Linked DNA regions of Stegostoma tigrinum. The protein of the gene in region 1 interacts with the protein of each later gene in a biochemical or structural test. Links are inferred from orthologs where the notes say so. Each region holds a gene or a part of one and is shown on either strand. Other genes may lie near its edges.

What was found. The genes of interacting proteins can lie anywhere in the genome.
Region 2: the proteins of vcpip1 (region 1) and waca form a complex in vitro, tested with the Homo sapiens proteins (2 studies listed by BioGRID). The link is inferred for Stegostoma tigrinum from reciprocal best matches to the Homo sapiens genes VCPIP1 and WAC.

The regions. Positions count from the first base shown.
Region 1 is NC_081358.1:31,502,074-31,509,984, forward strand, and holds the start of vcpip1 (deubiquitinating protein VCPIP1), read left to right. Parts: upstream 1-4,800; 5' UTR 4,801-5,082; coding exon 5,083-7,690; intron 7,691-7,911. UniProt on the Homo sapiens protein: Deubiquitinating enzyme involved in DNA repair and reassembly of the Golgi apparatus and the endoplasmic reticulum following mitosis. Necessary for VCP-mediated reassembly of Golgi stacks after mitosis.
Region 2 is NC_081355.1:124,993,636-125,001,284, reverse strand, and holds the start of waca (WW domain-containing adapter protein with coiled-coil), read right to left. Parts: upstream 3,121-7,649; 5' UTR 2,922-3,120; coding exon 2,881-2,921; intron 2,605-2,880; coding exon 2,571-2,604; intron 1,813-2,570; coding exon 1,623-1,812; intron 1-1,622.

The DNA of each region.
Region 1 (7,911 bases):
AGTGATACAGACCACATGCAGGCAGATGGGATTAGTTTAAAATAGCATCACAGTCAGCATAGTCATGATGGGCTGAAGGGCCTGTTCCTGTGCTATACTGTTCTACATTCTGAAGACCAACTGCTTGGAGGCATGTAGAATCCTATGACATGGGAACTTTGCTATTTGTAGATCACTGTCTATTGGGCAGTACCTCTGACACAGTGGTGTGGTGACTCTGTGGTAGCACTGTTGCCTCACAGTGCCAGGAATCCAGGTTCAAACCCAGCCGTAGGTGATTGTGTGGAGTTTGTACATTTGCCTTGTGTCTGTGAGGGATTTTTCTGAGTACTCCAGTTTCCTCCCACAGCCAATAATTTGTGGATTGGTTATGCTAAATTATCTGCAGTGTCCAGGATTTATAGGCTAGGTGGATCAGCCAAGGTAAATGTGGAGTTATTAGACTAGTGGGCTGGCTCTGGTTTTGAAGTGATGCTATTTAGACGGGTGGTGCAGACTTGATGGGCCACATGGTTTCTTTCTGCACTGTAAGGATTGTGTGTCTTGGTTGCATCTTCTTCTCTTTGCACTTCAATTATGTGCTCCTTTAGCTTCCTCCTGACCACGATGATTTTGAGCATATGTTTCTCCCTGCTACTCTATCCAGTATCAAAATAGTATGCCTGAGAAGTATCAATTCCCCTCCCTGCCACTTGTTCCTTTCAGAAGTTCAACTACTCACATTCACAAATGTAAACCCATGGTGATAATTCTATGGCACTGGCTGAGCAGCTAGGTTTAAGGTCTGAATTTTATGGTGTGTGGTGTGGTTAGAGAGCATATTGCTTGGCTATTCCCATCTCTTGTTCAATTTGAAACTAGGTAATGTGAGACTTCTGCTCTTTCAGAAAGATGTCCTGCCCTTGTAAAAGGGAGAGGTAACAGTGTAGGAGAGGTGAGTCCCCTATGGTCACAGAGCACAATGCCAAAAGGAGCTACCACTACCTTATATTAAGTAGCATGCTGGCCTCCTTTAGTCTGCCTTCTCCAGCCTCATATTATTGCAGCAAAGGTAGAAACAGGTTCTTAATTAGTCATTAAATGGGCCAGTTAACAGCTTCATTGGTCTAAGGTCATGTGATTCCAATCTGACATCTTGGGTTTGGGTGGGAAAGCACACCAATTTTAGTTTATGCACCATATAGTCCACCACATATTCCAGCAAAGTTTCCTCCAAATCTCCATTTCTTACAAGTTGACTACGTAAGGCAATGTGGCTCAATGGTTACCACAGCTGCCTCACAGCACCAGGGATTTAAGTTTGTTTCTAGCCTTGGGTAACAGTGTGGAGTTTGCATGTTCTCCCCATGTCTGAGCGGGTTTCCACCCAGTCCAAAAATGTGTGGATTAAGTGGATTGGCCATGGGAAATGAAGGGTTATGGGAATATGGTGTGGGATGCTCTTCAGAGGGTTGGTGCGGACTCAATAGGCTAAAAAACATCTTTTTGAACTGTGGGGATTCTATGATTCAACATACCTATTGACATTTATAACTGCCACTGCGTTCACGGCAGCTGCACACTTTCTTTTAACAGTGGCCCTAAGTGAAAACAGTAAAGTGAGAAGACAGTTGAGCTCATGGTGAAATTTGTTGACAGATTGTTAATTCATTGCTGCTCCCAGGCCCTTTGAAAAATCACAACAAAGTCTGAGGTATGAGAACCACTAACAACATCTAAAATAATGATTTCCAATCTGAACCCACACCTAATCTTGCTTTCACAGGTTTTGGAGTGTGACTGACAATTTGAAGAAAAACACAAGTGAACATATTTATGTGAACGGTAAGACATGGCCCCAGGTAATACCTAATTAAAATGTTGATTCACAAAAGAAAAATGTGACATAGAAGAAAAACAACTTTTGAAGGTTTTAGCCTGACTAATTAATAACAAATTATGTTTTTTAATGACATATCACATTTTGGTATATATTATCAATATGTGAAAGGTAAAGTTGCCATAATCCCAGAGGACTAATAGGTATGCTCTCTCATTAGACAGAGATAACAGGTGGTGGTTTAACCTGAGTGTCACTGTGCCTCAGGCAAGGAGAGAAGTTGAGAGGCTGAGAACTTGATGATAACCTCAGCCAGTGCACAAATTAAATTCATGCTGTTTGACATAGAAACACGGACAATGGCTCAGAAACATGAAAAAAGTAAACATATTTTTGCTTCAGAGTTCTTTCAGGATGTCTCATACAAAATGTACATTGGCCAATCCTCATTGGTTAAGGTAATAGAACGGAGAACTGCAGTTGCCAAAAATCTGAAACAAAAACAAAAAATTGCTGGAGAAATTCAGAAGATCTGGTAGCATCTGTGGACAGAGAAACAGATTTATGGGAATACAGGAGCAGGAGTAGGCCATTCAGCTCTGAGTCTGTTCCACCATTTGATAAAGACCTCTACTAATCTGTGGCCTTGACCTCTATCCCTTAATACTTTTGTTTAGCAAAAAAAATCTCAGATTTAATAACTAATCGAGCATCCACCCATGTTTGTGGAAGACAGTTTCAAACATCTCCTACATTTTGTGCATTGAAGTGTTTCCCAAAAGCTCTCCTGAATGGTCTGGCCCTATTTTTTGACTTTGCTTCCTAGCTCTGGAATCCCCAACTAGTGTAAATAGTTTATCCACCTTGCCTTTTACTGTTAATATCTTGAAGACATTGATCAGACCAACCGTTGATCTTTAAATTCTAGAGAAAACAGGAGTCAACATTGAGTCCAGTGACCCTTCTTCAGATGCAAAATCAGAGATTGCTGCAGCAGGTGCTGGCAGCATTAGTGAAGATAAAGCAGAGTTAACTTCTAGGGACCAATGAGCCTTCCGAAGAGGCTGCCAGACCTGCGCAGTCTTTTCAGCAATTTCTTGTTTTGATTCTGATTTCCACCATCCGCAGTTAATTGGTTTGTTTTTTTTTTGAGTAAACCCTTCTTCAGATTCACGTTCCGCTCCCCACAGTTGCTGCCTGACCCGCTCAGTTTCTCCAGTAATCATCCTCCGACACTTCCGCCATCTATAATCCGACCCCACCACCCAAGACATTTTTCCACCCCCACCCTTGTCTGCTTTCCGGAGAGACCACTCTCTCCGTGACTCCCTTGTTCACTCCACACTACCCTCCAACCCCACCACACCCGGCACCTTCCCCTGCAACCGCAAGAAATGCTACACTTGCCCCCACATCTCCTCCCTCACCCCTATCCCAGGCCACAAGGTGACTTTCCACATTAAGCAGAGGTTCACCTGCACATCTGCCAATGTGGTATACTGCATCCACTGTACCCGGTGTGGCTTCCTCTACATTGGGGAAACCAAGCAGAGGCTTGGGGACCGTTTTGTAGAACACCTCCGCTCGGTTCGCAATAAACAACTGCACCTCCCATTCGCAAACCATTTCCACTCCCCCTCCCATTCTTTAGATGACATGTCCATCATGGGCCTCCTGCAGTGCCACAATGATGCCACCCGAAGGTTGCAGGAACAGCAACTCATATTCCGCCTGGGAACCCTGCAGCCCAATGGCATCAATGTGGACTTCACCAGCTTCAAAATCTCCCCTTCCCCCACCGCATCCCAAAACCAGCCCAGTTCGTCCCCTCCCCCCACTGCACCACACAACCAGCCCAGCTCTTCCCCTCCACCCACTGCATCCCAAAACCAGTCCAACCTGTCTCTGCCTCCCTAACCTATTCTTCCTCTCATCCATCCCTTCCTCCCACTCCAAGCCGCACCTCCATCTCCTACCGACTAACCTCATCCCACCTCCTTGACCTGTCCGTCTTCCCTGGACTGACCTATCCCCTCCCTACCTCCCCACCTATACTCTCTCCACCTATCTTCTTTTCTCTCCATCTTCGGTCCGCCTCCCCCTCTCTCCCTATTTATTCCAGAACCCTCACCCCATCCCCCTCTCTGATGAAGGGTCTAGGCCCGAAACGTCAGCTTTTGTGCTCCTAAGGTGCTGCTGGGCCTGCTGTGTTCATCCAGCCTCACATTTCATTATCTTGGATTCTCCAGCATCTGCAGTTCCCATTATCACTTCTCCAGTAATTTCTGTTTTTGTTTCGGACCCTTCTTCGGATCATGTTCGTCCAGCTTCTCACGTTAACTGATTTAAGATGATGTGATGGACTAACGCCCACTGCCAGCCGGCGGGCATTACACTGACGTCAACCAACAATTGTTGCGCATGCGCAGCAGGGTATAAAACGTCATCAAAGGCAGACAATGACGGGTAACTATGACACCGACTTCTCCTTGGTAACCGCGCAGCAGGCCTGGCAACTCTTAATCTGAAGTGACAATCTTGCTAACTCAAATTTAGACCGAGTTCGACAGGTCTGCTCCTCCCTGTACAAGGCGGAGCTTGGAAATCAAACAACACACATTTGAAAGCCCAATAATACGAGTGCCCTTAGTTCAGAGCATCAACTCGTGAGGCGGTGCGATAGCTTGTCAAATATTTTTTAATTGGGTGATAAGGTCACGGGAACACACTATTACAGAAATTATGACATCAAAGAACTAGAAAAAGCACACCACACAAACACGATATAACCATCATCCTAAACTCCCAGCACGCCTTTCGCTAGTCCGGCAATTCGAGTCCCCCTCTGAAAATGACCGCAAGTCACTTCAATGCACTCTGGGATATGTAGTTCCAACGCTGCACAGTTCAACCGCAAAGCCGACGGCCATGCGCTCAGCAGAAAACTACAATTTCCAAGAAGCAGCGCGGCCAAGGCGCATGCGTATCTGCCTCACAGTCAGCCTTTCCTCCCTCCCCACCCATCTATCTTCACCGCTGTCTCCTGCCTCCTCTAGAAGGGATTTGTTTCGTTTTATAACGGAAACTGAGACTGGAAGGAGAAAGACAAGGAAACTGAGTACTTCCGTGTTTCATCTTCCACTCAAGAATATTCGTGATAGGAGCAGTCTTTCCCATTATCAACTGACCATGACACTGTGAGCATTAACGACTAAATATTATATAAACTGATTTTACAGTAATCAGAAATAATCAATGAAACAATGTTGCAAGGATCTAAGAAAAAAGACAAACGCATTCTGTCAGGTACGTGTCCGGATCCCAAGTGCCAGGCTCGACTGTTTTTCCCAGCCTACGGAGTCAGCATAGAATGCACTGAATGCGGCCAGCGGCATGAACAAAGAAATCTAGTCAATATTGAGGAAGTCACCGACCCAGACGTGGTACTGCACAACCTACTGAGGAATGCTTTGCTGGGAGTCACTGCCCCCAAAAAGGGCACGGAAATGGTGAAAGTGATGGGGCTGTCCAATTATCACTGTAAACTACTGTCTCCCATTCTGACCCGGTATGGCATGGATAAGCAAACTGGGAAGGCCAAGCTCTTGAAGGCGATGAACCAAGGGGAAATGTTTGATTGTGCCCTGTTGGGTGACAGAGCTTTCCTTATTGATCCAGAGCACATTGCGACTATGGGCTATGGAAAAGACCGTTCAGGGAGTCTCTTATACCTCCATGATACCCTTGAGGAAATCAAGAAGGCAAATAGTAATCAAGAACGTTTAATCCCTGTACACGTTGATGGTGATGGCCATTGTTTAGTGCATGCTGTGTCCAGGGCTTTAGTAGGCAGAGAGCTTTTTTGGCATGCTTTGCGTGAAAATCTCAAACAGCATTTTAAGGGCAACCTGGATCGTTACAAAGCACTATTTCATGACTTCATTGATGCAGCAGAATGGGAAGATATCATTAACGAGTGTGATCCTTTGTTTGTTCCTCCTGAAGGAGTACCTTTAGGTCTACGTAATATTCACATATTTGGTTTGGCCAATGTGTTACATCGCCCAATCATTTTGCTGGATTCCCTGAGTGGAATGAGAAGTTGTGGTGATTATTCAGCTACTTTTCTTCCAGGATTAGTTCCTGAAGAAAAATGTTGGGGTAAGGATGGACAGCTGAATAAACCTATTTGTATTGCATGGAGCAGTTCAGGACGTAACCATTATATACCTTTGGTTGGAATAAAAAAAGGTCCTTTACCAAGGCTTCCTTTGAAACTGTTGCCCAAAGCTTGGGGTGTACCACAGGAGCTTATTAGAAAGTATATAACATTTGAAGATGACAAATGTATTTTAGGAGGTGATCGAAGTTTGCAGGACAAGTACTTGCAGAGATTAGTTGCTGCAATGGAAGAAATTTTCTTGAAGACACATGATATTCACCCTTCTCTGGTAGCAGATGTTCATCAGTATATATACAGAAGGACAGGGGTGATTGGAATACAGCCTGAAGATGTTACTGAAGCTGCAAAGAAGGCTGTAATTGAAAATCGTTTGCAGAAATGTTTGATTTGTGGTGCTCTGTCTGAACTTCATGTGCCCACTGAGTGGCTAGCTCCAGGAGGAAAGCTGTACAATTTAGCCACAAGCACCTATGGCCAACTAAAGCCAGACAAAAATTACAGCTTTCCTGTCAACCATCTGGTCTGCTCATATGACCCTAAAGAAGATGTACTGGTGCCAGATTACAATTTGAGTCACTTAACATCTTGCAACTGGTGTCACGGTACTTCCATGCGCCATGTCAGAGGGGATGGTTCTGTTGTGTACTTAGACGGAGATCGAACTAATACCAGATCTGCTGGAGGTAAATGTGGCTGCGGCTACAAGCATTTCTGGGAAGGAAAGGAATATGATAACCTGCCTGAGGCATTCCCAATAACTTTGGAATGGAATGGGAGGATAGTTCGAGAAACTGTTTATTGGTTTCAGTATGAAAGTGACATGGCTCTGAATAGCAATGTTTATGATGTTGCTATGAAGCTTGTTACTAAGCATTTTCCTGGTGAATTTGGGAGTGAAATCTTGATTCAGAAGGTTGTTAACACCATATTACATCATACAGCTAAAAAAAATCCTGATGAATATACTCCAGTCACTGTCGAAGGGGCACATAGTCGTAGAGTTGGTGACTTGCAAGATGAGCCAGCATCAGAACCACATTTACCAACCAAAATAATTTTAATGGGTCAGAAATCGAAGACTCTGCATAAAGAAGAACTGAACATGAGCAAAATTGAACGCGGTATTCAGCAGAACATTACTGACCATGCAGCTACTGTGCAAAAGAGGAAAACTGACAAATTACGCCAAGATCCGAAGGTACCAGGCCAACCACCTTCTCCTGGAATTGTTAAAGATGGGTCATCATCTGCCCCAGCCACTCCCATCAAATCCCCTTATTCCACATCACCTTCCAAGGTGAAAAAGATTAGAGTAACCACTAGTGATGGACGACAGGCGACACTGACCCTTCAAGCTTCTGTAACATTTTCTGAGTTTCAAGAAAGCATCGCCAAAGAATTTAGCCTTCCCCCACGTTTGCAATGTATACGGCATGGCTTTCCTCTGAAGGAACTGCACCCCCCTAAAGTGGGATGGGAGAATGAGGTATTGCCTCTGCAACACGGTGATTGTGTTTCTGTGGAGATTCTGAAGGACAGCAAGGAATCTGTTCCTGCTGCTTCAACATCTGCAACTCATTCCTGGAAAACTGAAGAACCTGAAGCATCTGGTAGAGCTTCTGTTAAAGAGATGCAAGACCATATTGATCTTGAAATGTCTTCCCTCTGCCTTCTAGCAACCTTAATGGGTGAGAAGTTATATTATCTTATTTTTATGAATTTTGGGTAACTTATGTAGGAATATTGTTGTGATAGGATTCTCCAACTGGGAACTATTAAAAGGAAGAGAAAACTTAAAAGTGGAAAGCTGACATAAATGCTAAATATATATTAGATCAATCAACACCTGAGAGTGAAAGATAATAGGAAAGTTAACATTTTGTGTTTGAATTGTTATTGATTATTTTTC
Region 2 (7,649 bases), on another chromosome or scaffold:
CTCCCACAGTCCAAACATATGCAAGTCAGGTAGATTGGCTTTGCTCAGTTGCCCTACAGTGTGCAGGCTAGGTGGGTTAACTACGGTAAATGTCGAGTTATGGGGATAGGGTGGGATGCTTTTCAGAGGATTGGTGCAGACTTGATGGTCCAAAGGGGGTTTGAGTCAAATCCTGCACCAAATGTGCTCCAACATCTGTCAAACTCCGCTTTTTTCATGAGTGAAATAGATGAGAACTAAGTCCAACACCTTTCACTATACATTTCAGACTGGTGGAAAATTCAAGCTGTGACCACTAAAGAAACAGAATAATTGCTAATTTAGTTAAGTCAAGGTAAGTATTTGATTTTATTAGGTGCGCACAAACATGAATAGTTAGAAATCTGATCCATTGATTAAATGCACAATAAACACTGTATTGCAGAATTAAAAGCTCAATAAATACAATTTTTGAGTTCAAAAAGGCCATAAAATTTTGGACCACCAGTAACTGTTCAATCAAAACATTCCATTCAATGACTTTGTATAATGTCCAAATCTCTGCATTTGGATTTGTTAATACTGTTGTATTAATAAAATGTTAATACTGTTTTAGTTCTAAAACACTGGATAAAGATTTACCTTTGGTAAAGGTGCACTTATGCGAGCCTTAAGGGCATTCTGTTGAGATTTATTCCATATTTTCGGTGCAATATGACACCACTAATTTGAATCATTTTAAAACCATATAAAATCATGTGATGTAGCATCTACAGTACAGAAACAGGGTCATGCTCCACTCAAGTCTTCTCCATTTTTTTCCAAAACTGTGTCATAACCTTGTATCCCTTAATCACTTAGATGCTTATCACATCTCCATTCTACAAGCATTTATATTTGCCCCAACCCACGTTAATTTCAAGTTCTTCATTCTTACCACTCTACAGGTGAAGAAATTGTTCACCTTTGCTTGTTCATTTGTAACCAACGCATATGATCAGTCTCTGGTTTCAATCCTGTCACCAACAGAAACACTCCCTCCATGTCTGCACCAAACATTTCAATAATCTTTAAACTCTGTTCTTTCATCCCCGAGTTTGGTCGCATCAAAAGAAATGGGATGTAGCCTGTTCATGATTTTCACAAAGTTATCACACATTAAATTTCTGATATCAACCTTGCAAATTTGTTTTTGCATTATTGCCATTGTCTATGTAACCCTTTCCTTCTTAAAATAAAAATGGCAACACAGTACCACAGGTTTGCCCCAATCAAGACTCAACACAAGTTTAGCAAGGCTTCTCAATGTTTCATTTTTGTCTCACTAAAAATCATCCAGGTTTTCATTTGCAGTTACAGTCCTATGGGCCCACATCTTAACGTTCAATTATTGGTTACATTCAAACAAAAATGGTATTGTTTCTGTGCACAAACCTAAAGCAGCTACTAATCTGGAATTCCTAATTTGAATTAAGTGCTTAAAACGGCAAGTTTAGCATTTAATCAAAAATGTTATTTGTAATTTTACTCGTTTGTTCGTCAATGCTTTTTGACAGCAAGGCTGTATTTTCCAAAAGATGGCCAAAATGTAATGGCTTACGCAAAACTAAGACTTTCTGCATGTTAACTGCACAGTAACGTACCGTCTCGCTCCCTGGCTCGATGTGAGTGCACAGTTTTACTCTTATGTCCTGTACTATCACTATGTTTATTTTCAGGGCTGTTAGAACGTCGCAGCATTTTGCAGGGTGGTGATGGATCTCCCGATTCTCTGGTTTTGTCATGGCGATGATCACTGCTGCTCGTGTGACTCTTGGATGGGTATTTAAGAGTCTGAAATAGAATCATCATAAAACAGTTAATTAGAAGAATTGTGACCTAGAAGCAAAATGACATGCAACTGTAGGCACACGTGCAGCTTTCAGGGATTTCATTGCCTTCCTAGTTCAATTCTTCATGTAAAGTGAACTCCATCTAAGTATAACTTAATTTCAGTTCTGACTAGATTTCCATACAAGTATTACTTTTCACTAACGTGTCAAATTTAACATTGGTTAGAGTAAGTAATTGCAAATTTCCAGCAGCCTACTTTTAAAAAGTGATGTTGGCCTTCACCCTTGAAAGAATTTAAAACTAGGCTTAAAAACACAAACAGAAATGATACATACTACCCTATCCTACTAACTTTAATAAATTAATTGCAAAAACAACTGGGTTTAAACAGAAATCTGTGTGTCAGCTCATCGTTAGAGCAGAAATATGTCTCTTAAAAAGGTGTTCAAAAACGTAGGAACAAAAAAGCAGGGACACGGAAACCTAGGCCCTCCTACAGTTCACAATTTATTTACATGTATTTTTATGTGTTCATATTCAAAAGTAAAAAAAAAAGCTATCAGAGCCAATTGAATCTAAAACACAGTCATGAAAATACGTCCGATGTCATTAAATGGTATTTTCGCACAAGATTTTAAAATGAACTTTTATCTTATGCACCGTCTCCTTAAAATCCAGCTGTAAAGTCGTGAGGCCTGTTACAGACGCACAAGCCTTCATTAAAGTAAATGGCATTCGATTCACTCTGAGAAATATACCTGATAGGGCTGGGATTCCCTCCTGTCGTGACACCTGCAAAGAAATAAAAACCAGAAAATGAATGTGCCAGCGGTGGTCTAAAACGTATTTTTCTTAAAACTTTGAAACAAAAACTCGGCAGAAAATGTACATATTTTTAAACAAGATCTTTCACAGTAAAATGATCACAAAGGTGGGGAATTCGTTTCATTAAGTTTTTACTTATTTCGGTTTACAGCAAAAATGGCGGATTGTCAAAAGATAAGGAGAATTCGAAAAAGGGTAAAAGGAGATTTAAAGAATAACAAGAAGAAAACCTGAACATTTTACCCATCATTGAGTCTCGGTTGTTTCCTTGCATACATTACCATCAATGCTGTTGTATGTGGAGTGGATCAAAAGGTAAATTATATTTTTTTTCTAAAGGGAAGGGCAAAATATTCAGAAAAACCGGCCCTTCTCTTTTTTTAAAAAAACAGGTAAGGACACTACCAACTCTCGGGATCCATCTCACACACACAAACCAACACTGAAGAGGACGAGGCCCATACTACATACGGGTAACGCGTCAGCGATCGGGAACAGCCGACCCTCCCGCCAACGATCGTTTTTTTCCGGAAACCCTTCGGCTCTTTCCGTTCAACTGAAGCCAGCACGCGAGCAAAACGAAGAGGCAAATAAATAATGAACAGAGGCGGCTACATAAAACAACACACCATTTCATACATATTGCAAAGGTCGCCTCCTAATTTGCTAAGCGGCTGATTTCTGGCTTCCTAATTTTCTAAACGGCATGCTGGGAGATGGGTCACGTGACCGGATCGTGGCTTGACGTCTACTTATTTTAAAGAGAGATTGAGGTGAACGGTGGGATGTAGAACGGTTGTGTTTTTTCTTCCCGCAAAAACAAAACACAATATTCGCTGAGTTGAGTTCTTCGGTGCCAAAAAGAAAAACAAACCTCACACGCAAATGAAAGGGTAAATACAGAGACTCAGTAAGACACTGATGGATGGACTGCGCCAGGGCAAGTCATGGCTGCGCGGGCCTGCGGAGTGATCGTGTATAGTAAATGGCAGCCAGTCACTGACTTACGTTGGGGCTTTACATGTGCATGTGCATCGCTTGTTTGTCTACTTTCTAGCCACTAACCGTTGCGCGATGATTCAAAATATGTTATTTGCCGTCTGTTTCCATTTTCTTTCGAGGTGTTATGAGAGTAAATAAAACGTGAAGACCGTATGGCTCGGTAATGTTGTATTGAAGAAAAGTAATGTAAATTCTTGATTTGCTGACACTTAATAAACTTTGCGACGTCGTTATCTTATTGTTCCAACACTGTTTCGGTATTGCGGAAAATCAGTCTTGGATGCACATAGTTGGGTGTTTTTTTGTGTCCGATTTGATAGTTTTGCCATTCAAAATAAACTAACAAGCAAAATTAGAGTTAAGAAATATTCTACTCATTGAACCTCTTTCTTCGATCGGTTATTTGGAGCGCAGAAATATTTAGCTGAAAATCTTCACAAATATGCAAACTGTACACTTGCTGTACCCATTGTTTTAACACTTTGTTTTCTACGGTGTGACTAACGCACAAACCCAACATTTGCTGTTCACCTTCTATTGCCCCTGAATTATTTCAAACTACACAATTACAAAGTTTAAAAACTTTAACAAAAGCCAAAGCAATATAGTGTGAGATGTACACAGTGCAGTAACTAATTGGTAAAGTAAATAATGTGTTTTCAAACTTGTCTTATCAAAAAAACCTTACAGCAGCTCATCCTTCACTTTTGAGGTGAGGAGAATATTTTGGAAAGGATTATCTGCTTCATGTAATCAGCAAAAAACTAAGATGTTAAGGAAACAATGGAGAGAAGAGTCTTTCATAAACCTTGTTTAGATGTGTACCTTGGGATAACATTCTGGCAAAATTTTCTGTACTGTTTTTCATCTTTAAATCTAAATTGGTGCTAACAGTTGTTACCTAGTTACTTTTGTGCCTTTGTTTGAAATCCCTGGCCTTTTCACTGACACCCTTCAATATTGATGTCTTCCAGGTATATGCTATTGTTGTCTTAACTCTGAATGTATTACATGTTTAACCATGTACATCTAATGTATTAGATGTAAAACCAAATTTACATTTACATCTTTCCTATCACTGGAAGTCCTAAGGCATTTTCTATGGAATCAGAGTCTGAAGCTGGCAGTGGGTGGTGAAGGAGATGATTGGAAGCAGGGTTTTAAAATGCATTTGTCCTTGAGATTTGCATATAGCTGGCATTTGTTGATTCAACTGAATACATTGCTCAGCTGAGCACCTATGTTTGTCCTTAAACAAAATTTGGTGTATCTGTTTGATTTTTTTTTTGTGCCAAGTGATGGTTTCATTATCACTTTTACTGCTACCAGTGGATGTGTATTTTTTTCCCAACTAAATTTCAAGTTTCCAAACTATTGAGATTCATATGTGTGTTTTCTAGTTAACTTATCCAATAGTTAAACAAATATGAGGTGTTCATTACTGAGAAAGCATTTAAAAATAACAGTGCTGTAGTTAAGTTAATGGAGTTAGGAGAGCTGCTTCAGTTATTATGCTGCAGATTGAGGGAGGAATTCAGCAACCCAGCACCAAAGTGGAATAGGAAGAATAAAAACATAGACTATTTTCTAAATGAGGAAAGACTTCAGAAATCTTATATACAAAGGGACTTTGTCCTACTTCAGGATTCTGTTAAGTTTAACATGGCAGGTTCAGTTGGCAGTTTGGAATGCATTTGACTTAGTAAGAGCTAGAATACAAGAGCAGAGATGTACTAATGAGGCTGCATTTCAGAAAGTTGAGAGAAATTTTGGGCCTCATATTTAGAACGAGTATGCTGATCTTGGAGGGGTCCAGAGGTGGTTTACAACAATTGTTATCTAAGAAATGGTTGAGGACCCTGGGTCTGAACGCAGTAGAGTTTCAGTGAAAAAGGGACATCTCATTGAGACTGACAAAATACTGAAAAGCCTGGAGGTGGCATGGTGCGAGATGGTGTCGGGGACAGTATCAGCAGAGAAAGAAAAGTTGGACTCCCCTGAGTTTATATATTTTAACTTTATTCTAAATTAATGTGCTTGGTGTCTATATATGGTGACAGTACACTGCGTTTTACTGTATTTTGTATTGAATACATGACAATAAATGATTCAACACCAAAATGGACATGAAGATGAAGGGTCTAGGCCTTCCTGTTCCTATGATGCTGCTTGGCCTGCTGTGTTCATCCAGCTTGTTATCCCTGTGAAGATGATGTTTCCAGAAGTAGGAGAGATTTGGACCTGAGGGCACAGCCTCATAATGAAGGAGAAACCTTTTTAGAACTCTGATGAGGAACTTCTTACGTCAGTGGATGGTGAATCAGTGGAAGCTATTGGGTATATTTAAAGAGACAGAGGCTCTTGATTAACAAGGGGATCGAGTGTGATTGGGAAAAGGCAAGAGAACGGTGCAGAGAAGCAACATGATTAAATGGTAGCATATACTTCATCGACCAAATTGCCTAATTCTATATATTGTGGTCTTAAAGGGTGAGAGATGATTGCAGAAGAATAGGACAAGGTTGTGGAGGTACTTGAAAATAGTGTTTCAAAATTGGTCTGCTGAGAAAAGTTAATGAATGATATCGTTTGACTTGATGTAGGAAGTCTGAGTTAGGTATTAATAAAGCATTTTTCACTCAAGTAGTGAGACTATTGGAGAAATCAAACTATGAAGCTATGAATGGTAGTGTAGGTAAAACAAATATTGCCATGAAGATGTAACAAAGTAGTTTTGATCACTGCACATGTAAGTCTGTAGTCTGCTATTTGGTTTCCTCAGAATATGAAAGAGGCAAGTTTTAGTAAGAGCCTAAAAACAGATTTTCCTGGACTTGAAGCATTTAACACTCATTCTCTCCACAGATACTGTCAGACCTGCTGAGTTTCTCAAGCAATTTTGTTTGAGGTCTTTTAAGTTTGATTGGAAAGCAATTCCAGTTTTGAGGGCTTTGTTCCATGTGCTATCAAGGCAGCATGGAAGTTGTCATGAAATCGAACTTCATTTTGCACAGTTGTGAATTTGGTTATGACCCTGATAGTTTAGGGAAGCAGTGTGATGGTGAACAAGATGCATTTGAGGCACACCTTGGTTTGTTGTATAGGGGCAGGAGGTCAGGTTGTTGAATGAGATGTACTGGGTATATAAATACAGATAGAAATAAATTAGGCTGAGAGGATCAAGTTTTATGCTGAATTTGTCTATTATAGAGGAGAACTGAGCATTTGCTTAAATTTGAAAGAGATTGAAGAAAACTGGGGAGAAAATGGCACACCTTGTCATAACCTTAGTGTTTGCTTACTTTTTGCACTTAGCAAAACCACCTAATGTTTGTAGGATTTCAGTGAGTGTAGAGATGAGTCAGCATTCCTGCTCAAGAAATTAGTTCTAACCAGCCTCCTCATTCACTGTTGCTGCTGCTGCATCGGGAACTTATCTATTACAATAGTAAAAACAGTGCTGGTGAAACATAGGTCTTTTGGAGAGAGAAACAGTTGTCATAGTGGACTCAAAAATGCTAAAACTTCAGGCGCTGAGGAAGAACTCTTGTTTTTCTTCAGTGTTGTCAAACTTGCTGAATCTCCAGCCCTTTTTTTAAATTTCAGTTTCCAGCTCCTGCAAACACTAATGATAAATGTAGTTGCAAACAGAGAATGCTAATTGAAAACTACATTTTGATTTTGGGAAAGAGTAACCTTTTTAAAATGGCTTCCTCCACCAAAGTCCCAAGCCCACCTTCTGTCCTAAATTGCACTTCGTAATGCACTGCTATCTTTGCCAGCCTCAGCTCTTTTAATGAGGGATGGTTGGGCTGAAAGCTCAATGAGGGGTGATCTTAGTGAAACATACACCGTTCTAAGTGGGCTTGACAGAACTAGGATTTCATGTGCGGAAGTGATATTTCCCTTTTTTTTTGGGGAGGAATCTAGAAGCACAGCTTCAAGCATGATCTTGTAGATTGATTAGATTCCCTACAGTGTGGAAACAGCCCCTTGAAGCATCCCACCCA